Saccharomyces cerevisiae S288C: one gene and its partners. The gene in region 1 interacts genetically with each later gene. Each region holds a gene or a part of one and is shown in the gene's direction. Other genes may lie near its edges. The genes, in order: YOP1, SEY1, ICE2 and BBP1.

Region 1 (4,249 bases):
CTTCTCGCCAAGTTTGAGAATCAAACAGTTTTGGTTTAGTTCACTTCCTGAAGTATTCATATTTACTCCTAAGTATAGGTCGAGAGGTTCAAATGTTGTTTTGATTTTTTCATTCACATAATTTGAAGGTAGCTCGACGTATTTTGGTTTAATTAGGTCATATAACCTTTGCGGTTCATTGATACCATCATTTTCGAGCTTGTTGATAAGCTCGATGATTAATGAAAACATTAAGATTACAACTCCTAGCCCACAGGATATCATATTGGCCGGATTTTCACCTACAGAAAAACATGATACCATAGTTTGAATTACTTGAAGTGTTAGTTTAGTGTCATCCAGTTTCTTTTCACTAACAGATTTTGTAGCGGCAGGTGCAGGTGCAGTAGAAGTTGATGTCACCGTTTCATATACAGTTTTGATGATTGTAACAGTATCTATCATGTCATCATCATGGAATGCAAAAAGAAGACCCAGGAGTGGGACGAACGAAGCAAGTATTCTGTAAATACCAACCATTTCTTTTTATCTGGCGCTTTATATGTTTATGAATAGTACGTTATGATGATTGTTTTTTTACAAATGTTTGTGAATTACACTAATGGTAATTCCCTCTTTAGTTAGAAGTAATGGAAAATTAGTACTTTCTAATTCTTGTGATCAACGCTTTTTCAACGTTGCCATCATCAACAGAATCTCGATCTGCTAGCCAACATCAAAAAGTTGTTTGCCGCACATCATGTAACCGAACTTTCAGTACCACAAAAACTAATATGCACGGCGCTTGAAAAGTGCTTTAATTTTGTAAACTATTTTGTTTTGTAAATTTCTAGGCAGTTGAGGCTACCGTCGTGACCACAGAAAGAAAACATCTTCAAAACACTTTAGTGACTGTCCATATAGCCGCCGAAGTTAGTCGCTGATATAATTTGAAACCTACATTATTATTTGTTCGTTTGGAAGACACGTTAGGTTTAGTATCAATAAACTTCCCATCCGAAACACTTATTCTACTAGTGTGTTTCATAATGCGTAAGCCAGCACGTATATATTCATCTCAATTTGTTACACACTTAACATACTATATAATTCCTGAGAAAATGCCCAGCTCATAAACATCGGTAGTCCAATTCAAGAACGGGGGAACTGAATTTGGGAGTAATCAAAAAAAAAAAAAGACGTTACTTCATCGTTTTTGTTGTCATTGTACACTTCTTTCATTTCTTTTCAGATTTAACTTCTCTGTCCGTAGTCGGCAAATAACGGTCCTTTAAATGCAAGGGATCATCAAGAGATTTTGAAAAACTGTGGAGCCAGATATTTATTTGTCAACTTTGGACATCTACCTTAGTCTGTCTGCTTCCCTCTTTTTGACCTCTTTTAGTAAACTCTGAGGTGGGATGACTGACTCTGACGGAGAAAGTATGTAGATATCTCAAGAAAGTATCAGTCCACGATATAGTAGGAAATATTATACAATACGTAATGGAAGCAAAGTGTGCTTCCATGAGTTTTAGACAAATTTATGTCCCTAAAACTTCGAACTTTTAACGGGAACAATTTTGGCCGTGATAAATTCTTTTCCAACGCTTATATTGATTATCCGTTATTGGTTTTTTGTTGGAGACATTAAAAGATGGCCAATGGCGTAAGAAAATTTTGAAAAAAAGTCAGACATTCAAGTTGAAAAACTCCTTCATCTTCCTACTTGAGTCTATATTTTCATTGATATTTCCATAAGAGAAGGAGCAGTCAAGTTCAAGAACCAACTTTCCGCAGTTGGCAGGTCGAAAAAATAAATGCGAATTCTGTGGATCGAACACAGGACCTCCAGATAACTTGACCGAAGTTTTTTCTTCAGTCTGGCGCTCTCCCAACTGAGCTAAATCCGCATATCAGAATGAAATAAACAAGCATTCTTGTGCTTTATAAATGGTCCAAGCGTCTAACTTTTAAAGAGTACATTCTAAAAGTAAGAGACGAAGACAACATTATAATAATTTTCTCAAGACATATATGTTTCACCGGCACGTTTTGTTTTGTCCCCTTTTATTTTGAGCCTGAATACTATGCTTTATAAAACTTTAATGCGCTCAACAAGTGCACCTTCCAACGGAAAAAAAGAAATTCAACAGGGAGCGATGCCATCATCACATGCACGTTTTCAAGTATTTATAAGACTTGCTACTTGCTCGTCCATTCATGACTTTAATGAGGTTCTAATTTATTGGTGCAACTCTTCAAACTAGCTGCCCAATCAGTGCTGGAATGAGTGCCAAGACAAGCGACAAACCCTGTCAATCTCCTGAAAAACAAAAATTAAGTGCTTGAGAAGACCTTCAGAAGAGTTGCATAGATAGGATGGGTGAGCGCAATTACTAGTTACGCAGTAAGTAGGTTATATGGCTGCTGGAGGGGCAGTACTGATTTAATCACAATCCGGATTAAACTTCCTCCTGAAAAAAAAAAAACTACATCAAGTCAAAAGATTTTCATTCACTCTTTGGAAGGCTGTGTGGCATTCTAACCTTTATTTTTTTATCACCATTCTCGAATTTTCGTGGTTCGCTTTCTTAGCGCCGTTATTCTCTCTTCTTGTCCACGTCAAAGGGAGTATGCGTAACCCCTTTCAAGGTTGAACGAAAAAAAAAAAAATATGTCCTTCAAAATTTTTTTTGATTTAAAACTAAAAAACATTCCCTTGAAGCTTGTTATTCCGAAAGAAAGAATCTAAAATTGCAATTGGTAGTGAAAACAAATAAACAAAGACATAACCGCACTCCAATCATGTCCGAATATGCATCTAGTATTCACTCTCAAATGAAACAATTCGATACCGTATGTAAGATGGTTTTATTGGTTCCATCGTCATCATGGTTCAAACAGCCAAATGACCCGACACACGTAACCGAAGCAGTTATACTAACAAGAAAGCTAATTTTCACCCTCCTTGCTACATTTTTTTCTACAGAAGTACTCTGGTAATAGAATTTTACAGCAATTAGAAAATAAAACTAATTTGCCTAAATCTTATTTAGTTGCTGGTTTAGGTTTCGCTTATCTCCTTTTGATTTTTATTAACGTCGGAGGTGTAGGTGAAATTCTTTCCAATTTTGCTGGGTTTGTGTTGCCAGCATATTTATCGTTGGTTGCTTTGAAGACACCAACGTCCACCGATGACACACAACTCTTGACCTACTGGATTGTCTTTTCATTTTTGAGTGTCATTGAATTCTGGTCCAAGGCAATTCTATATTTGATTCCATTCTACTGGTTTTTGAAAACCGTTTTCTTAATCTACATTGCCTTGCCTCAAACTGGTGGCGCTAGAATGATCTATCAAAAGATCGTAGCCCCATTGACCGACAGATATATCCTAAGAGATGTTAGCAAGACAGAAAAGGATGAAATTAGAGCTTCCGTCAATGAGGCTTCTAAGGCTACAGGTGCTTCTGTTCATTAAGAGGCAACTCACCTATATCCTCAAATCAAACTCTCGTTTTTGTTCTCTTTGTTATCTATTCTATTGAGAGCATATAAGTACATATGTTATTAGTTGTTATATATCGCTACTTAACATATAAAATATTTTGGAGTCGTTTATGGTGTCCCAGAAGATAGCATTTCTATTCATCGTGTTGTGTCGTGACGTGTCTCTTGATATGCGCGACAGACCATCCAACGCAAGGTCATTAATCATGTTATGTTCTGTAATTTTAAAGGCATTTTTTATAGAGTTTCATCGAATTTGTGATCGAACTGTTCATTGGTGATAGATGAAGAGCCATTTAAATGAAAATCCAACTTAACTCTTAACTTCAGTTTCCCAGATCCAGAAATTTTCAATGACTGCTTGCAAATTTGGCTGGCGTTTATTGTGGAAGATGGATATAACTGGCCTAGTGTTAGCTTTTGAGCTTTAGGAACGGCACAGAAAGTTTTTAAGTCAGATATTAAAGACTTTGCCTGAAAATATAAATCCAAATGTGCTAATCCAGAGTTTGCAGAGAGCAAGGAAGCATATACATTCAGTGAGGAACTGTCATATATCTTGTTGGCATCCAATGGTAAGGTGACACCTGAGTTTGCCTCCACTGCCGACGAATGATTGATTGATTCTTCCTTGTTCGCATTTTTGGGCACCTGAGCAATGTCATTCTTCTCTCCAAAAATCTCTTCTAATATGTCAATTGGTTTCACATTGTCACCAGTAGAAGCCTTGCTTTCAGCCTTGCTATCCTCACCCAAT
Region 2 (5,789 bases), on another chromosome or scaffold:
GTTCCTTTGATCTAACTTTTCTCTTGTAATTCCGAATTTTTGGCGTTTTGGTAATTCCAAGGGGAAGTTGTCTATTACATACGTCTAGTGATGTGGAATACTATAAATGTCTTGGTATTGTTATCCTTTTCCCCGTATATCAGCCTCTACCCCATTAGTAATATGGCATGGAACCTTTTAACGTTTTTCTAATTTCCGCGGATTTAACTCCGTTCACTATGATTTCTGCCAGTATGATACTGGCAGAAATCTACATTCGCTATATATAAAGAGGATATACTGGTAATAACTACAGCTTCCATGTGAGCTTAAAACGATCATGCTCATCTTTCTTCATCTTGATAGAGATTGGTAATGCTGTCATACTCCCGTGATTATAAAGCAGAATGAGAAATATTGAGACAACCGTAAAAACAGCTACTGCCCAGAATTTAAACCTTCAAACTTCATCATCAGAAAGGTATACTGTGTAAATAATGCGTAAATAGTAGGAGCATGGTGTTCTCTTGTCGTTGAAAGAACATCTGCGGCGAGCACGTGCGGCTTAATTCTCAAACGTCTCGCGGAGGTAAATAGTGTAAAGGGAAGCCTCAACTTTAAGACATGAAATCACACTGAAATAACGCCTGAAAGGTCAGGAACAGTGAGTACGTAGGAGTATAAGAGCGTGGGGAAACACAAAATGGGCAAAACCGCGGATAATCATGGTCCAGTACGTTCTGAGACAGCACGTGAAGGAAGAGAAAACCAGGTTTACTCACCCGTTACAGGTGCAAGATTAGTTGCTGGCTGCATATGTTTAACACCCGACAAGAAGCAAGTTCTCATGATTACTTCTTCTGCACACAAGAAAAGATGGATTGTCCCCAAAGGTGGCGTTGAGAAAGACGAGCCTAATTACGAGACGACTGCCCAACGAGAAACTTGGGAGGAAGCTGGTTGCATAGGTAAAATTGTCGCCAATTTGGGTACAGTTGAAGACATGAGACCCCCTAAGGACTGGAACAAAGACATTAAGCAATTCGAGAACTCTCGAAAAGATTCAGAAGTAGCAAAGCACCCGCCAAGAACCGAATTTCATTTTTATGAATTAGAGATTGAAAATCTCCTTGATAAATTTCCGGAATGTCACAAAAGACATAGAAAGCTATACTCTTATACAGAAGCTAAACAAAACTTGATAGACGCCAAGAGGCCTGAATTGTTGGAGGCCCTTAATAGGTCTGCTATCATTAAAGACGACAAATAGCTAGCACATACATATATATGTATATACGTCATGGTCGTCAAGCCACCGCAAACATATTTATCTATTCCTTCGCAAATATGCTCTTTTCACTTCGATCCGCCCAGGAATCCCGACATCATGTCTTGTAGGAAATTCGTTTGTTTAGGAGCAACAATATTGAAATATTCCTGGCCCAAAAATTCTAACTCACTTTTGTAAGCTTGAGAAAAATCTAAATAATGGTTCTTTAAATTCAAGAAATAGCTCTTATCCTTAGTCTGACAGGTAATTAGCAACAATTGCAAAAAATTTAGGTCGGAATAATCTTCAAAAAAAACTATTTCATAACCATTTTTATCAATTTTCTCGTACTTGGGGTGAAATTTCTCAATAAATCTTTCCAAAAAAATGTCTTTTGATTCATGTGCAAATGATATGTTAGAGATGAATAAATAGTTGAAAACCAATCTGCTGAAGAACTCAGCCACCGTGCTATCTTCGATATCATCAACTTGGCATAACCAGTCCCATAGTAAATCGACATATTTGATCATTGAATCATGTGTACCTAACATAAAATATCTCTCAGCTTCATAAACGAAATCTCCCTCTAATAGTTTGCTACCAATGGTGTTGTGCAAGTAAGGATCTCCAAATTTGTATTCACTAAATTTGATAGACCAATTGTTCATACCAGTAATAACGTCCTTTAAATTGGGCTCGCTAGGATCCAATTCGGCTATTAATCTAACCAATCTAGCAACTGAGATGTCATCAACTTTAACTTCCGCTAAATCATAAACTTCTAAAAGATAGAAGATCAAATCCGTGCCTGAACCGCCCTGCTTCGCCTTTAAAAATGAAAGGGCCCCTTGACTAATTAGTTCTATGGCATGCTCGTATGATTTACTTCTAACATATCTATTAGCAATAGTTCTCAACGTTTGATGCGCTTCGTAATAATCTCCAGCTTTGATCTTATTTTCGAATCTTTGTAAGGTTTTAGCGAGTTTCGCTTGTACAGCATTAGATTCAGCAGGAACCATAGCTTGTTATTATTATTTATGTCCCTTTATGATGTTTACTTGGTTGTTTTACCGCACATGTTATTATTTCATTTTTTTGACTTTCCTTTCACTTTTTTTCCCATTGTTTGTTACCTTAACGAAGAGCGACAAAACGAACAAAATACTGAAAGGTGTATTTTGATGGTAAATAATTATTGACTTATTTCAACAAACGGGCTACTAACTCACTCGACGGTTGACATACTTTAGTCATGGCTGATAGACCTGCTATTCAGTTGATAGATGAAGAGAAGGAATTTCATCAAAGTGCATTACAATATTTTCAACAATGTATTGGAAATCGTGATGTTGGTCTAGATTACCATGTCATCTCAGTTTTCGGTTCTCAATCGAGTGGTAAATCGACTTTACTTAACGTCTTGTTTAACACCAACTTTGATACCATGGATGCTCAGGTGAAAAGGCAGCAGACTACTAAAGGCATTTGGTTGGCTCACACTAAACAGGTTAATACAACTATTGAAATCGATAATGATCGTCCAGATATTTTTGTGCTAGATGTTGAGGGCTCCGATGGTTCAGAAAGAGGTGAAGACCAAGATTTTGAGAGAAAAGCCGCTTTATTTGCCATTGCAGTATCTGAAGTTCTTATAGTTAATATGTGGGAGCAGCAAATTGGGCTATATCAAGGTAATAATATGGCTTTATTAAAAACAGTTTTTGAGGTCAACCTTTCCCTATTTGGCAAGAATGATAATGACCACAAGGTGCTGTTACTTTTTGTAATTAGAGATCATGTAGGTGTGACTCCACTCTCGAGTTTGAGTGATTCCGTTACGAGAGAATTGGAAAAAATATGGACAGAGTTAAGTAAACCTGCTGGTTGTGAGGGTTCTAGCCTGTATGATTATTTCGATTTAAAGTTTGTCGGGCTAGCTCATAAGTTGTTGCAAGAAGACAAATTTACCCAGGATGTCAAGAAATTAGGTGATTCGTTTGTGATGAAAGGTACGGAAAACTATTATTTCAAACCTCAATATCACCATAGGTTGCCATTAGATGGTTGGACTATGTACGCAGAAAATTGTTGGGATCAAATTGAACGTAACAAGGATTTAGATCTTCCAACTCAGCAAATTCTGGTTGCTAGATTTAAAACTGAAGAAATATCTAATGAAGCTCTAGAAGAGTTCATTTCAAAATATGATGAATCGATTGCTCCTTTAAAGGGTAACTTGGGATCTTTAACATCTCAGCTAGTGAAGCTAAAAGAAGAATGTCTGACAAAATATGATGAACAAGCATCGCGCTATGCAAGAAACGTTTATATGGAGAAACGAGAAGCTTTAAATACAAAGCTGAATTCACATATTTCAGGTACAATTAATGAGTTCTTGGAATCATTAATGGAAAAGTTATGGGACGATTTAAAATTGGAGGTGTCTTCTAGAGACAAAGCTACTACCTCTTTTGTAGAAAGTGTGGCGGCAGGTAAGAGTAAGATTGAGAAAGAATTTAACGAATCAATGGAGACCTTCAAAAAGTTAGGGCTACTAATATCAAACGAAGAGATTACCTGCAAATTTTCCGACGATATTGAAGAAAGAATCAAGCAACTACGTGATGCTGAATTGAAAGCAAAAATCGGTCGTATTAAAAAAAATCTGGTTCCCGAATTAAAGGATCATGTGATTCATTTACTATCACATCCATCCAAAAAGGTTTGGGATGATATAATGAACGATTTTGAATCTACTATCAAAGACAATATATCTGCGTATCAAGTGGAAAAAGATAAATATGATTTTAAAATTGGACTTTCAGAGAGCGAAAACGCGAAGATTTACAAAAATATTAGAATATTGGCGTGGAGAACCTTGGATACCACAGTACATGACTACCTGAAAATAGATACGATTGTTAGTATATTGAGAGACAGGTTTGAAGATGTATTCAGATATGATGCTGAAGGTTCTCCAAGATTGTGGAAAACAGAAGAAGAGATTGATGGGGCATTCCGTGTTGCAAAAGAACATGCCCTGGAAGTTTTTGAGGTTCTTTCACTTGCTGTAACCTCAGATAACGTTGAAATTATTCCTGATGTACCAATGGCTGAAGAGGAAAGCGGCGAGGACAACGAAATATATCGGGACAACGAAGGTGTGTTTCATTCCCGTCGTTTCGCACACATCTTGACTGAATTGCAAAAGGAGAATGTTTTAGATCAATTCCGCAGGCAGATTAACATTACTGTTCTGGATTCGAAAAGGTCTATCATCACTACTAGAACGCATATTCCACCTTGGATTTACGTTTTGCTAGCCGTATTAGGGTGGAACGAATTCGTGGCTGTCATAAGAAACCCCTTATTTGTAACCCTTACCTTGATCTTAGGTGCAACCTTTTTTGTTATTCATAAGTTCGGCCTCTGGGGCCCTGTTGTTAATGTTGTTCAAAGTGCAGTTGGTGAAACAAGAACTGCAATAAAGGATAAACTAAGGCAATTTGTCGTTGAAGATCATGAAGTGAAGGAATCTTTTGAAATGAAAGATTTCTCAAAAAACGAGCAAAAAGAAAAATGATATGAAAATATTTTTTGATCGAATAATTTATTTCAATTTACCGTGTTTACTTTTTTGTTATTATAGTTATTATTATAATTACTGTTCTCCTAACGTGTCTGTGTGTTTGTATATAACTATAGGGAACTATTTATATGACATTAAAAATATATGCAAATGCATATCGCAAGCTTATGAGTTGTGTGAGTGGCTTCAATAAATCTGATAGATTTACACTAAGCAAAACATTTCAGGTTGATATAGCATTGATAGATGTTTTCCATTCATGAATCTGTTTCTCTAAAGATTGTTTCTCCTCATTTGTGAATTTGCTGAATAAAAAATGCAATACAGTCTCCCAAAATTGTTCAAATGTTCTTAAGTCATTCAGATTTGTCGGTTTTGATTTCAAAACTGTTGGTAAGCTCTTCCACTCATTCTTCTTTATCTTTGAACAAGTGAAAAGTTCCGAAAATACAGACACCCAAAACAAATAAATGTAATTCGAAGCGTTTTCTATGGTAGTTAATTTATCTGGGTTGTAATCTATGAATCCAATATCTTCACCATATTCCTTTCTTAAAGTGTGGTCAATAGCAAAGAAAATAGTTTCTTTTACTTGCTCAAACACATTTTGTGAGACTTTATCGAATTGCAAAGGGGGCGTTTCTATTCCAGGAATATGAGCATATGATGTGACATTCTGATCGAAATTATTTACTGTAGAGTCACGCAGATTAGCAAATCTCAGTTGGTTTTCTTCATATGCTCTCATTGCAATTATTTTCGCATCCATGTTCTTCCTAAATGAAACAGTTAATATATCTTCAGTTAATGCCTTTGTACAAAGATTCTTATCATTCGAAAGCAAAATAACAAAACAATTTAAAATCTCTTTGAAGTACAAGCAACAGTCCAATATCGAGTCATCCTTTAAACTGCCTGGATTCAAGCTTTGTTTCAATTTTTGAC
Region 3 (4,830 bases), on another chromosome or scaffold:
ACCGGATTGCCCAATACTGGAGTTTTCTGATCCTATTACCTTGTGATTCTTCCATCTTCCTGCCATGTTACGGCATCTACCATTGATTAATGAATTAGCCGCTGGCGAGATGTATTTTGTGAATACCATTGTCTGTCTGAAGAGCTTAGCTTGTTCATTAATGTACCACATCCGAATTCTGCTAAAGTCAGCTTCATGTTGTTGATCCGGGATTTTGTTAAGATGGTCAAAGATGGTGAAAATATGAGATATGTTCTGGTATTCTATTGAATGTAATTGATCAATCACCATCAACTCTATTGAGGACAAAAAATCGTCCTGCCTCTTTTTTTTATCTGTATTTTCTAAGATCATTTGAATACCCAATGGCGAACATACAATAATGTCAGACTGGTAAAAATTGCTATAAAGTTTTATAGCCTTTCTTGTGAATTTGAGACCGACAACAAAAAAATCGTTGGTGTTCCCCCTAAATATGTGTTGGAAAGATTTTGGTTTGGACTTTGGAGGTAAGGAGTCGTCACGGAATTGGTCGTAGAACTTTCCCTTCTTGTCAACCTGATCTATACCAGATTTTGAAATTATCTTATCTACAACGCGGTACGCCACCTCTCTAGTAGGGACTACAATTAACACTTTTGGTCTTGTAAAACCTTGATCTAGGTGTTCAGTGTCTGGGTTATCCTGTAATCTTTGATTATTTTTCAAGATTCTATCTCTTGTCTTGTAGATGTGATTCAAAACATGCAAAGCATATAAATCTCTGTACTCGTCTTCGTCCTTTTCGTAGGAGTCATACTCGTATAATATGTCTTTATACTGAAACATGGGGTCTACTAATTTTTTTTGCAAAGCAGTCAATGGATCAGTTTTTTTATCCAATAGTCCATTTTGCACTTTTAGCCTTTGTTTCAAAAAGTATGAATATATAGATGATGACCTGTACGGACTTTCCACCAATGCTTCCTCACCAATTACTACCGGTTTAGCATATATATATGATTCACTGTCACTTAGTGAGCCCTTTACGGATTTGTATTTTACACTTTTGGTCTTGAAAGCATTCGACAACTTATCAACGAATTTCTCCGGAACTTGGTTGAAATGAGACTCGAAAGGATCTTGCTCATCTTCACTGTCTATATCTTTTTCGTCTCCACTGCTGTCATCGTCGTTATCATCCTCGTGATTACCCAAAAGGCCATTCTCTATCTCCAATTGATCATCCACTGGTCCATGTTCTGTATTTTCGTGCTCATCCTCCCCAACTTCGGCAGGAGCTTTGTTACTCTCGTCAGCCTCTCGCCTTCTTCTTTTTGGCTCTGGATGTTCAGATTTGAGAATCGTCAATAAAGCGTCATAAACTTTTTCCTTTTTACCCTCTTCATCCTCAATATCGAAATCATCGCCACTGTCGACATCGGACACTTCATCCTCATCGGATCTATGGTCAATATCTTCTGCTACGTCCTCTAATGTTTCTGTGCTTCCGCCTTCAGTTCTGGCAGAAGATCTTTTAATCTTCCTCAGTTCTTGTCTTCCTCTTTTCCGATAGCCACGGAAATTATCATTCTTTTCCCTCACAGAACTGTCACTCATTACAATTTGGTCACTTCGCAATTATACCACCGTCTCACTGAACCAATGCAGTTTATTCCCTGTATTATATTATTGCAAAATATGCGATGAGCTAAATTATAGTAGTATTGCGAAGGAAAAATTTTTCAGATCATGGTACACGAGGAATCGCATCAGCTTGAAGCGAAGCAAGGGACTGGAGCGGTTACTGGTTTCGGAGAGATGATTGATGAGAAGATGAACATAGGTAAAGGATCGAGGTGTAGTGATACTGGAAGGGCTGTGCGTAAAGTGTTGGTGGATCTTATAGTATTCGTGAAGCTTCTTTTTCCGTTTTGCTCCCCTCAGCCCATCGCGTAATTGCTTAGATCTATTAGAGAGGTGCTGTTTGTGGCCGATCACGCTAAAGATTAGGCAACGATGACCAGTTTGTCCAAAAGCTTCATGCAGAGTGGACGAATCTGCGCAGCATGTTTCTATCTGTTATTCACACTACTTTCAATTCCAATCTCGTTTAAAGTTGGTGGTTTGGAATGCGGGCTTTCCTTCACGGTGACACTGTTCACTTTATATTTCATAACTACGACTCTTAACGTGTTGGCAAGACGACATGGAGGAAGACTATACATTTTTTTTACCAACTGTCTGTATTACTCACAACATTTTATCATTGCATCTTTGCTATACCTGTTTTTGTCTGGATTTTCTAATGATGAGTTGGGAAACGTTCTGAAAAATAAATATAATGAGTCGGAGTCGTTCCTGGAAGCTTTGAAAAATAGCTTGAATTCCAATCAAATTAACTACGTCTTATATTATTACTACTATCGATTTGTTGTACAACCGTGGCAATTCGTGCTTACCAAGTCCACACCTTTTTTTACTCTATCGGAAGGTTTTTTCACTATTTTAGCCATTCAGGCCGTCGGGGAAACTAATAGATGGTTATCAAATGACTTGAATTCAAACACGTGGATTATTTCCTCATTGTTAACCTCCGGAGGTGTGATTACCGCATCGCTGTACTATTTGTATCGGATTTATGTCACCCCCATATGGCCGTTATCCATCCAAACGGCGTCCTTATTAGGACTTGTTTTGTCTATGGTATGTGGACTGGGGTTGTATGGTATTGTGAGTCAAAAAGGATCCGTCATAGAGAGCTCTTTATTTTTTGCGTATATTGTTCGTTGTATTTATGAAATTTCCCCCAAATTAGCTACTACCGCGACTGATGAAATTTTAAATTTGTTCAAAGACGTCTGGCAGAAACATCAAAGAAATCTGCCCACAGCTGACAATCTTTTGTGCTACTTTCATAATGTCATATTGAAAAATGCAGAGGTGTTATGGGGGTCCTTTATTCCTAGAGGAAGAAAGAAAACCGGTGATTTTCATGATAAACTCATTAGCATTCTATCATTCGAAAAAGTATCCTTGATATCTAAACCATTTTGGAAATTTTTCAAGAATTTCACCTTTAGTGTTCCGCTATCCATTAATGAATTTTGTCAAGTTACAATTAAGATGGCAAGCGAATCAGTTTCCCCAGCTATAGTAATCAATTTATGCTTTAGAGTTCTGATGTTTTACTCGGCAACGAGGATTATTCCAGCATTACAAAGAAAAAATGACAAACAGTTGCGCAAGAGTCGCAGGATCATGAAGGGATTGTATTGGTACAGTCCTTGCATATTAATTGCTATGTATACTCACCTGATTTTACAATATTCAGGTGAGCTAAAGAAAGACCTGTGCATATGGGGTTGCAGTGAAAAGTGGTTTGGCGTAGATCAACCAGAAATTATAGTAGATTCATGGGGATTTTGGAACTGGTGCAACATTTTCTGTACTATTTTGGTATACGCTACAGAATTAATAGGTTCTGGTAGTTGAAGCTGATGCATTGTCAAAAGAGCCGCATTACCAGCTTTGCCAAATACGCGAAGACAAAAAGGAAGGTGAAATACCAACTGACTTATAACTAAGTGATAGATGATATCTGTTTTAAGTGCCATTCCTGAACCATTTTTACATTTGGTTAGTTTCTTTTTTTGTTATTATTTGCATTAGTCCCTTGCACGTTCATAGTGAAAATCCCTTACGCTCACCACTATTTTCTAATAAATACAATGAACATTTTAACTCATACTCTAATATGTAGACACATAAATATATAAATATATAACATTTCCCTGAAATACTACTTTTATTACGTGGTAGATTTTAACCTGAAGCCGATGCAGATTATTCTAGATAATTTTATTTCGGTTTTTTTTTTTCTGTTTTGCTAATTTCCAAGAACCCTTTTTCTTCTCTTATCACAACGATAAGAGGTACTTAAGATGATCTTCATCCTTGGATTATTATTCTTTCCCTCTTAGAAAAGTGAATAATGAGAAGAATCCATTCTTAAATTTGGGAATGCAACGTACGAGGGAATTGGAATCGAGTGTCGCAATAGACCAAACTGAAGTACCCCGATCTAGATTTTTTATAATGGTTAAAAAATTATCAAGAGTTGCCGATATCGTCTATATAGTTGACACATTTCTAATTCCGCCATTGCATCCTTTAAAGAAGCAGCATCCAAAAGTTGCAAAGTTTTTGAAGGTACAACTTGTCTTTGATTTGATATCACTGTTTATTTTTGCTACGCACCAACTCCTACTGCTAGAAGATGGTAACTTTGGGAAGCACTACTTCAAAAGGAAAACAAAACGGTGCTCGAAATTTTCGTGCTCTCGCTGTAATGCAAACGCTCACCACCCCAAGTGGTTCAAATTCAAACATTCACTCCTATGTCTAGGAACGTTCTGTTTTGGGGTTTATTCGTTGGTAAAGATTAATAAGTTCTTTAAAACTGATCAGACTGTTGATCTAAACAGACTCTTAGAGCTATTCTTTTGGCAACTTAATGCAATTCTTAATATGAAGTTATTCGCCTTTTACGGGGACCATTTAGAATCACATAGTGCGCCTCTTGATGTGTATGAGGATTCTTTTGCAAACAAATCATCGTCAGGCGGTGACGAGGTTTAACAACTGTAGTTTTTTCGATAGTATCTTGAATCTGGATAGCATTTAATTGCGATTGAAACAAAAATGGACTACTGCACACTGTCTAGCGTTCGATATTTTCGTGCCATTATCACATATGATCTTCGGAAAATGAAGCAGATTATAACATCGGCTGAATTGATTAAAAATGTTAATAGTCTCCGGAAGCTGATGCGTAAAGATTAACATTGT
Region 4 (4,516 bases), 560 kb from region 1:
TTTCCATTTGTAAAAACATTGATTCATCAAAGACCTGACCATCACCACAGTAATGAACTAGTTCAGAGAGTCGAGGTATACGTGCCCTTGGGTTGGGACCATAAAATCTTCCGCCAGTAGGGATGACTACATTATTGATGATGTGATTACAACCGCCCCAAGTTTTAGCAGCCAACCAGAGACAAGTAGCGACAACCAATTTGGCTTGGTCCCGTAACACGATTCTCTTGGAACAATAGCGGTCATATAATCTAACTGAATGAAAAAAAATACCATTTGTCACTCGAGTGACCACAGACAGCTCGAACAAAAAAGTGATAATGTTGGACCTTGTTTCCACGGGGTTCATTTCAGGCTGCTGGTCTATTAGTTTTGGATTAGGTTTGAACTTACATGATTGAGCAATAACATTGGTGGAGATTTCTTGGTGGTATTCTTGCAGCATTTCGAAGTGAGAAAGTAATTCTGCATTAGATAGCTCAATCGGATAGTAGTCCGGTTTAGCATTGATGACGAGTCCCATACGGGGTCTTGGTTCAGCACTAGCCATTGTCTGTCGTTAAATTTAATGAATGAATGGAAAAAAGAAAAGATTTTCTTTTGTATGCAAATTATGATGTGGTAAGCGAATGAATTGGCAGCTATAGAGTCTAGCAATGCTGTATATAAGAAGAAAATTTGACGATGAAGTAAAGTAGATGTTAAAATAAAAGTAAGTTGTCCTTGATATTATCTATTGCCAATTCACTAAAAAACCAGTAAGAGGAGCATAATAGTTACCAGAGTCGATTGCTATTTTTTTATATATGAAAGAGATAGTAAGTTAAACAAGTAGCCAGAGGCTGCGTGCGATACGCAAATAGAAGGCGGATCTGCGTTCTGCGTTTGCGCAGGCCTTTTTTCCTTTCCGTTTTTCAGTAGGCCTGTCAGATCAACATTTCGCAGGTTAGATCCTCAAAAAGGGCCAACAGTTGTTTCAGTTGGTGTTCATTTCAATTTTTAGCAGTTATACTTAACAGGCTACGCCAAATGTGCTCTTCGCTAGGTATCCGCATGCGGAAACATAACGGTTTTTGGCGCGTTTCGTGACTAGAACACGCAGTTTTGAGGTTCAGCGGGACGAATTTCGTGTACTTCCGTTGAGACAAATTTCGCGATGATTTCCGTTTTCGGAAAGATGGAGCCGGGTAAAGCGCGCATGAATTGATAACTTGGCACTTTTGAACCTCAGTATCATTATTAACAATGTATAGTTGCTTTAGTTCGCATTTCAGGGTAAAAGTGCGGAGGATACGAAAAAGATGAGATAACTTACAGAAGGAAACGAATAGTGGTTTCAAAAAATGCCTTTCACTCGTAGAGAAAACAATAAAAGTTACCGCACTCCAACACAGGCGATACTGGAGGAATATTTTCAAGAGTAAATAGAAGCAAAGATGCTTAAAAATGGATACTTGAACCAATTTTTCTGTAGCGGTATATTACGCTGCTCTTTTAAAATTATTTCTGACGCGACCCGTTTTTGTGTCGCTCGGTGAAAATCACGAAAAACTTGACACTTTGAAAACTAATACAACATAAAGAGACTGAAGACGAGGAAATCAAAACAACGAAAAAAGTCAATCTTCGAAGGAGCATAGAGGCGAATGACTACTGAACAATGAATCAGGAAGACAACACGGGCGGAGGGGGCATTTTTGGTCTTTTCAAATGGACTAAGGATGCGCTGTTTGGTACGGACATATCACCTTCAATGAAATATAAAGATCAGGAAGAACGAAGAGACCGATCTAGGTATGCCCAAGACGACACAAATTTTTCTATGAAGTTTGGAAATGACTCCAACAGGAGGAGTACAAACTTATCGAGGTCAAATTCGTGGTCTGGTCTGGATTCAACGCTCCATAGGAAGTACGAGTTACTCCCAGAGTACAACGAGAACGGCTTTAACTCAATTGTTAACGGTGACCACCACAGCAAAGAGAGAATACGATCTTTACGAAGTCCTGCTCCGATAGTACCGAGAGAACCACTTCGTAACGAACCTACGGATACATTTGGTCACAGACTACACACAAAAAGGAGAACTATAAATGAGCTTTCCAATTCGCAGATACCCTTTATACCACCTCAGGAAGACGACCCTTTGCTCTCGAAATTATTTAACAAGGATGGAGTTAATGAGGTTAGAAGATCGCCCTATAAGTTATCGGTTAAAGATATACCAGGCAAATTTCCATCTCCCTTAACAAAACGTGATGAAATAGACAATTACTATGTCCGGGACGAAGATGCTTGCCACAAGAATAGAGAGTATAAAAAGGCATATTTTGATCTTTTTGCACAAATGGACTTGAACAGTAGAGACCTGGAAGATTTGTGTGAGGATGTTAGAGAGCAGCGTGAGCAATTCCACAGGAATGAGCAAACTTATAAGCAAGCATACGAGGAAATGAGAGCAGAACTGGTCAACGAGTTGAAGAAATCTAAGACACTCTTTGAAAATTATTATTCATTAGGTCAGAAGTACAAGAGTTTGAAAAAGGTCCTTGATCAAACGATCAGTCATGAGGCTGAACTGGCCACTTCTAGGGAACGGCTGTATCAGGAGGAGGATTTGAAAAACTTTGAAATACAAACATTGAAGCAAAGACTATCCGATTTAGAGCTGAAATATACCAATTTGCAAATAGAAAAGGACATGCAGCGGGACAATTATGAATCCGAAATACATGATTTATTATTACAGCTTAGCCTTCGTAATAACGAGAGAAAAGATACTTCTGCTGGTTCGAATATTTTTTCAACAGGACAATAGGACAGGACTCCATTCCACAATGGAAATAACAGTTACGACTCTAATTCGCATTCATGGGACACTGATTACTTAAAAAATATAGACGGATTCATAGAACGCTGAAGCAGAAAAGCTGACACGTTTCTCCCACTGTAACATTAAAAATACGTCATGATAGCAATGATAATGTGTTAACTACTTAGGTATGTACATTATATAGATAACGGAATAAAAAAAGATACGTTCTTATTATCATCACTCAACACGAGCTGTAATTCCCGCCCATTTTTTCTTCATTATCAGGTTGCGATTTTGAACAAAAAAAGTGAAACTTGAAGTTACGATGTGACATAAATTTGTTAAAATAAAAAAGATAAAATTCAGGATAGAAGTAGGTGCAACGCGAAATTGTCTCTGTCTACTTGTGCCTTGAACATCGAACTTACAACAGATTAACAAAGTATCGTTGCTCTTTTCATTCGTCTGTTCGTTATCATCATTGGATAGGGCTTACTTTCTCGCACGTGATTTTTCCCACAGTATAAATTTTGAGCTATAAGTGGTAATAAAAATTCAATAAAAATATAGGGAAAACAAGCCCAGTAGTTTTGATTTCTTCTATCATGTCAGCTATACAATCGCCAGCACCTAAACCTCTGCAGCCAACTTATCCAGCTGCTTCGCCAGCTTCCACGAATGCATATATGAAGCCGGGCCTAATTGGTAGTCCTGCCGTCAGTAATCATACCGAGCCTAACAATGGTAACAATGAAACTGCGGAGCCTCAGGGACCAAATCAGAGAATTGATTTGGGTGCCATGATCGAAGAATTAACCTCACTATTGGGAAAAGAAAGCTGGACGAAATATGCTCAGATCATCAGTCTTTTCATTTTAGGGAAGTTATCCAGAAAGGAACTTTCTAATGAATTAGAGCTGGTATTTTCACCAAGCGCTGCAAGCTTAGAAAAATCAAATACAAATCATCACCATAGTTTAGTACGACTTCATAACCAACTTTTATTAGGGATTTTTGCTAATTCATTACGTGAAAACCCTCTTGGGAGAAACGGTAATGAGAGTTCTTGGGGATTTGGCAATGGAAGCAACAATCCAAACAATAAACTAAAAAGAATCAATAAGCATAACTCTCAAATTGAAGTCTATAAAAAAATTGTCATGTCGTTACCTCTAAATGATCGAAATAGACTTAAAATGATCACGAAAGAGGCCGGCAAAAGAGGCTTCATTTTTTGCTCTGTATTTCAAGCCAGATTAAATAATATACCCAAAATTCCCATTGTAACCAATCCAGAAAGTTTGAAGCGTGTCAAGAGCAATAATTTAAAAACGCCGCTGGAATGGTCACAAGATATAATGAATGGATTCAACGTTCCTTTAGCGAGCGAAAGCCATTCTTTACCAGACACGGATTCGTTTTACTTAAGAATGGTTGGTATAGCAAGAGAACATGGGTTAGTCGGCACAGTGGACGCACGTTGCGTAGAGCTTATATCATTGGCCCTAGATCAATATCTAAAAAATATAATAGAGTTTACTATTGATACAGTTCGTTATAGAAGGAAGAAATATTCAGATTATTATGATTTGAATGAGAGTGGGCTTTATAAATCCGTATCAGAAATGGCTGCTGATAAACGCGATGCCAAAATTAAGCAGTTAGATGATGATAAAAATGAGGATGAATGTGCCGATGAAG

What was found.
Region 2: mutations in YOP1 (region 1) and SEY1 together harm fitness more than expected from each alone (negative genetic interaction), as found in Saccharomyces cerevisiae (6 studies listed by BioGRID, with this or other methods).
Region 3: mutations in YOP1 (region 1) and ICE2 together harm fitness less than expected from each alone (positive genetic interaction), as found in Saccharomyces cerevisiae (2 studies listed by BioGRID).
Region 4: of YOP1 (region 1) and BBP1, changing one suppresses a phenotype caused by changing the other (phenotypic suppression), as found in Saccharomyces cerevisiae (one study listed by BioGRID).

What each region holds. Positions count from the first base shown.
Region 1 is NC_001148.4:620,740-624,988, forward strand, and holds YOP1 (Yop1p), read left to right. Parts: upstream 1-2,787; coding exon 2,788-2,838; intron 2,839-2,971; coding exon 2,972-3,463; downstream 3,464-4,249. Other genes in the region: YPR027C (uncharacterized protein), read right to left, coding at 1-519; APL4 (AP-1 complex subunit gamma), read right to left, coding at 3,730-4,249. UniProt on the Saccharomyces cerevisiae protein: Required to generate and maintain the structure of the tubular endoplasmic reticulum network and the vacuole. Induces high curvature in membranes and causes membrane tubule formation. Involved in membrane/vesicle trafficking.
Region 2 is NC_001147.6:642,059-647,847, forward strand, and holds SEY1 (dynamin-like GTPase SEY1), read left to right. Parts: upstream 1-2,507; coding exon 2,508-4,838; downstream 4,839-5,789. Other genes in the region: polyphosphatase DDP1, read left to right, coding at 683-1,249; protein GET4, read right to left, coding at 1,336-2,274; SWT1 (mRNA-processing endoribonuclease), read right to left, coding at 5,068-5,789. UniProt on the Saccharomyces cerevisiae protein: Cooperates with the reticulon proteins RTN1 and RTN2 and the tubule-shaping DP1 family protein YOP1 to generate and maintain the structure of the tubular endoplasmic reticulum network. Has GTPase activity, which is required for its function in ER organization.
Region 3 is NC_001141.2:191,597-196,426, forward strand, and holds ICE2 (Ice2p), read left to right. Parts: upstream 1-1,998; coding exon 1,999-3,474; downstream 3,475-4,830. Other genes in the region: rRNA-binding ribosome biosynthesis protein UTP25, read right to left, coding at 1-1,599; YIL089W (uncharacterized protein), read left to right, coding at 4,003-4,620.
Region 4 is NC_001148.4:66,065-70,580, forward strand, and holds BBP1 (Bbp1p), read left to right. Parts: upstream 1-1,660; coding exon 1,661-2,818; downstream 2,819-4,516. Other genes in the region: cyclin CLN2, read right to left, coding at 1-550; HFI1 (Hfi1p), read left to right, coding at 3,421-4,516. UniProt on the Saccharomyces cerevisiae protein: Component of the spindle pole body (SPB) required for insertion of the nascent SPB into the nuclear envelope and for the proper execution of spindle pole body (SPB) duplication. Connects the central plaque of the SPB with the half-bridge.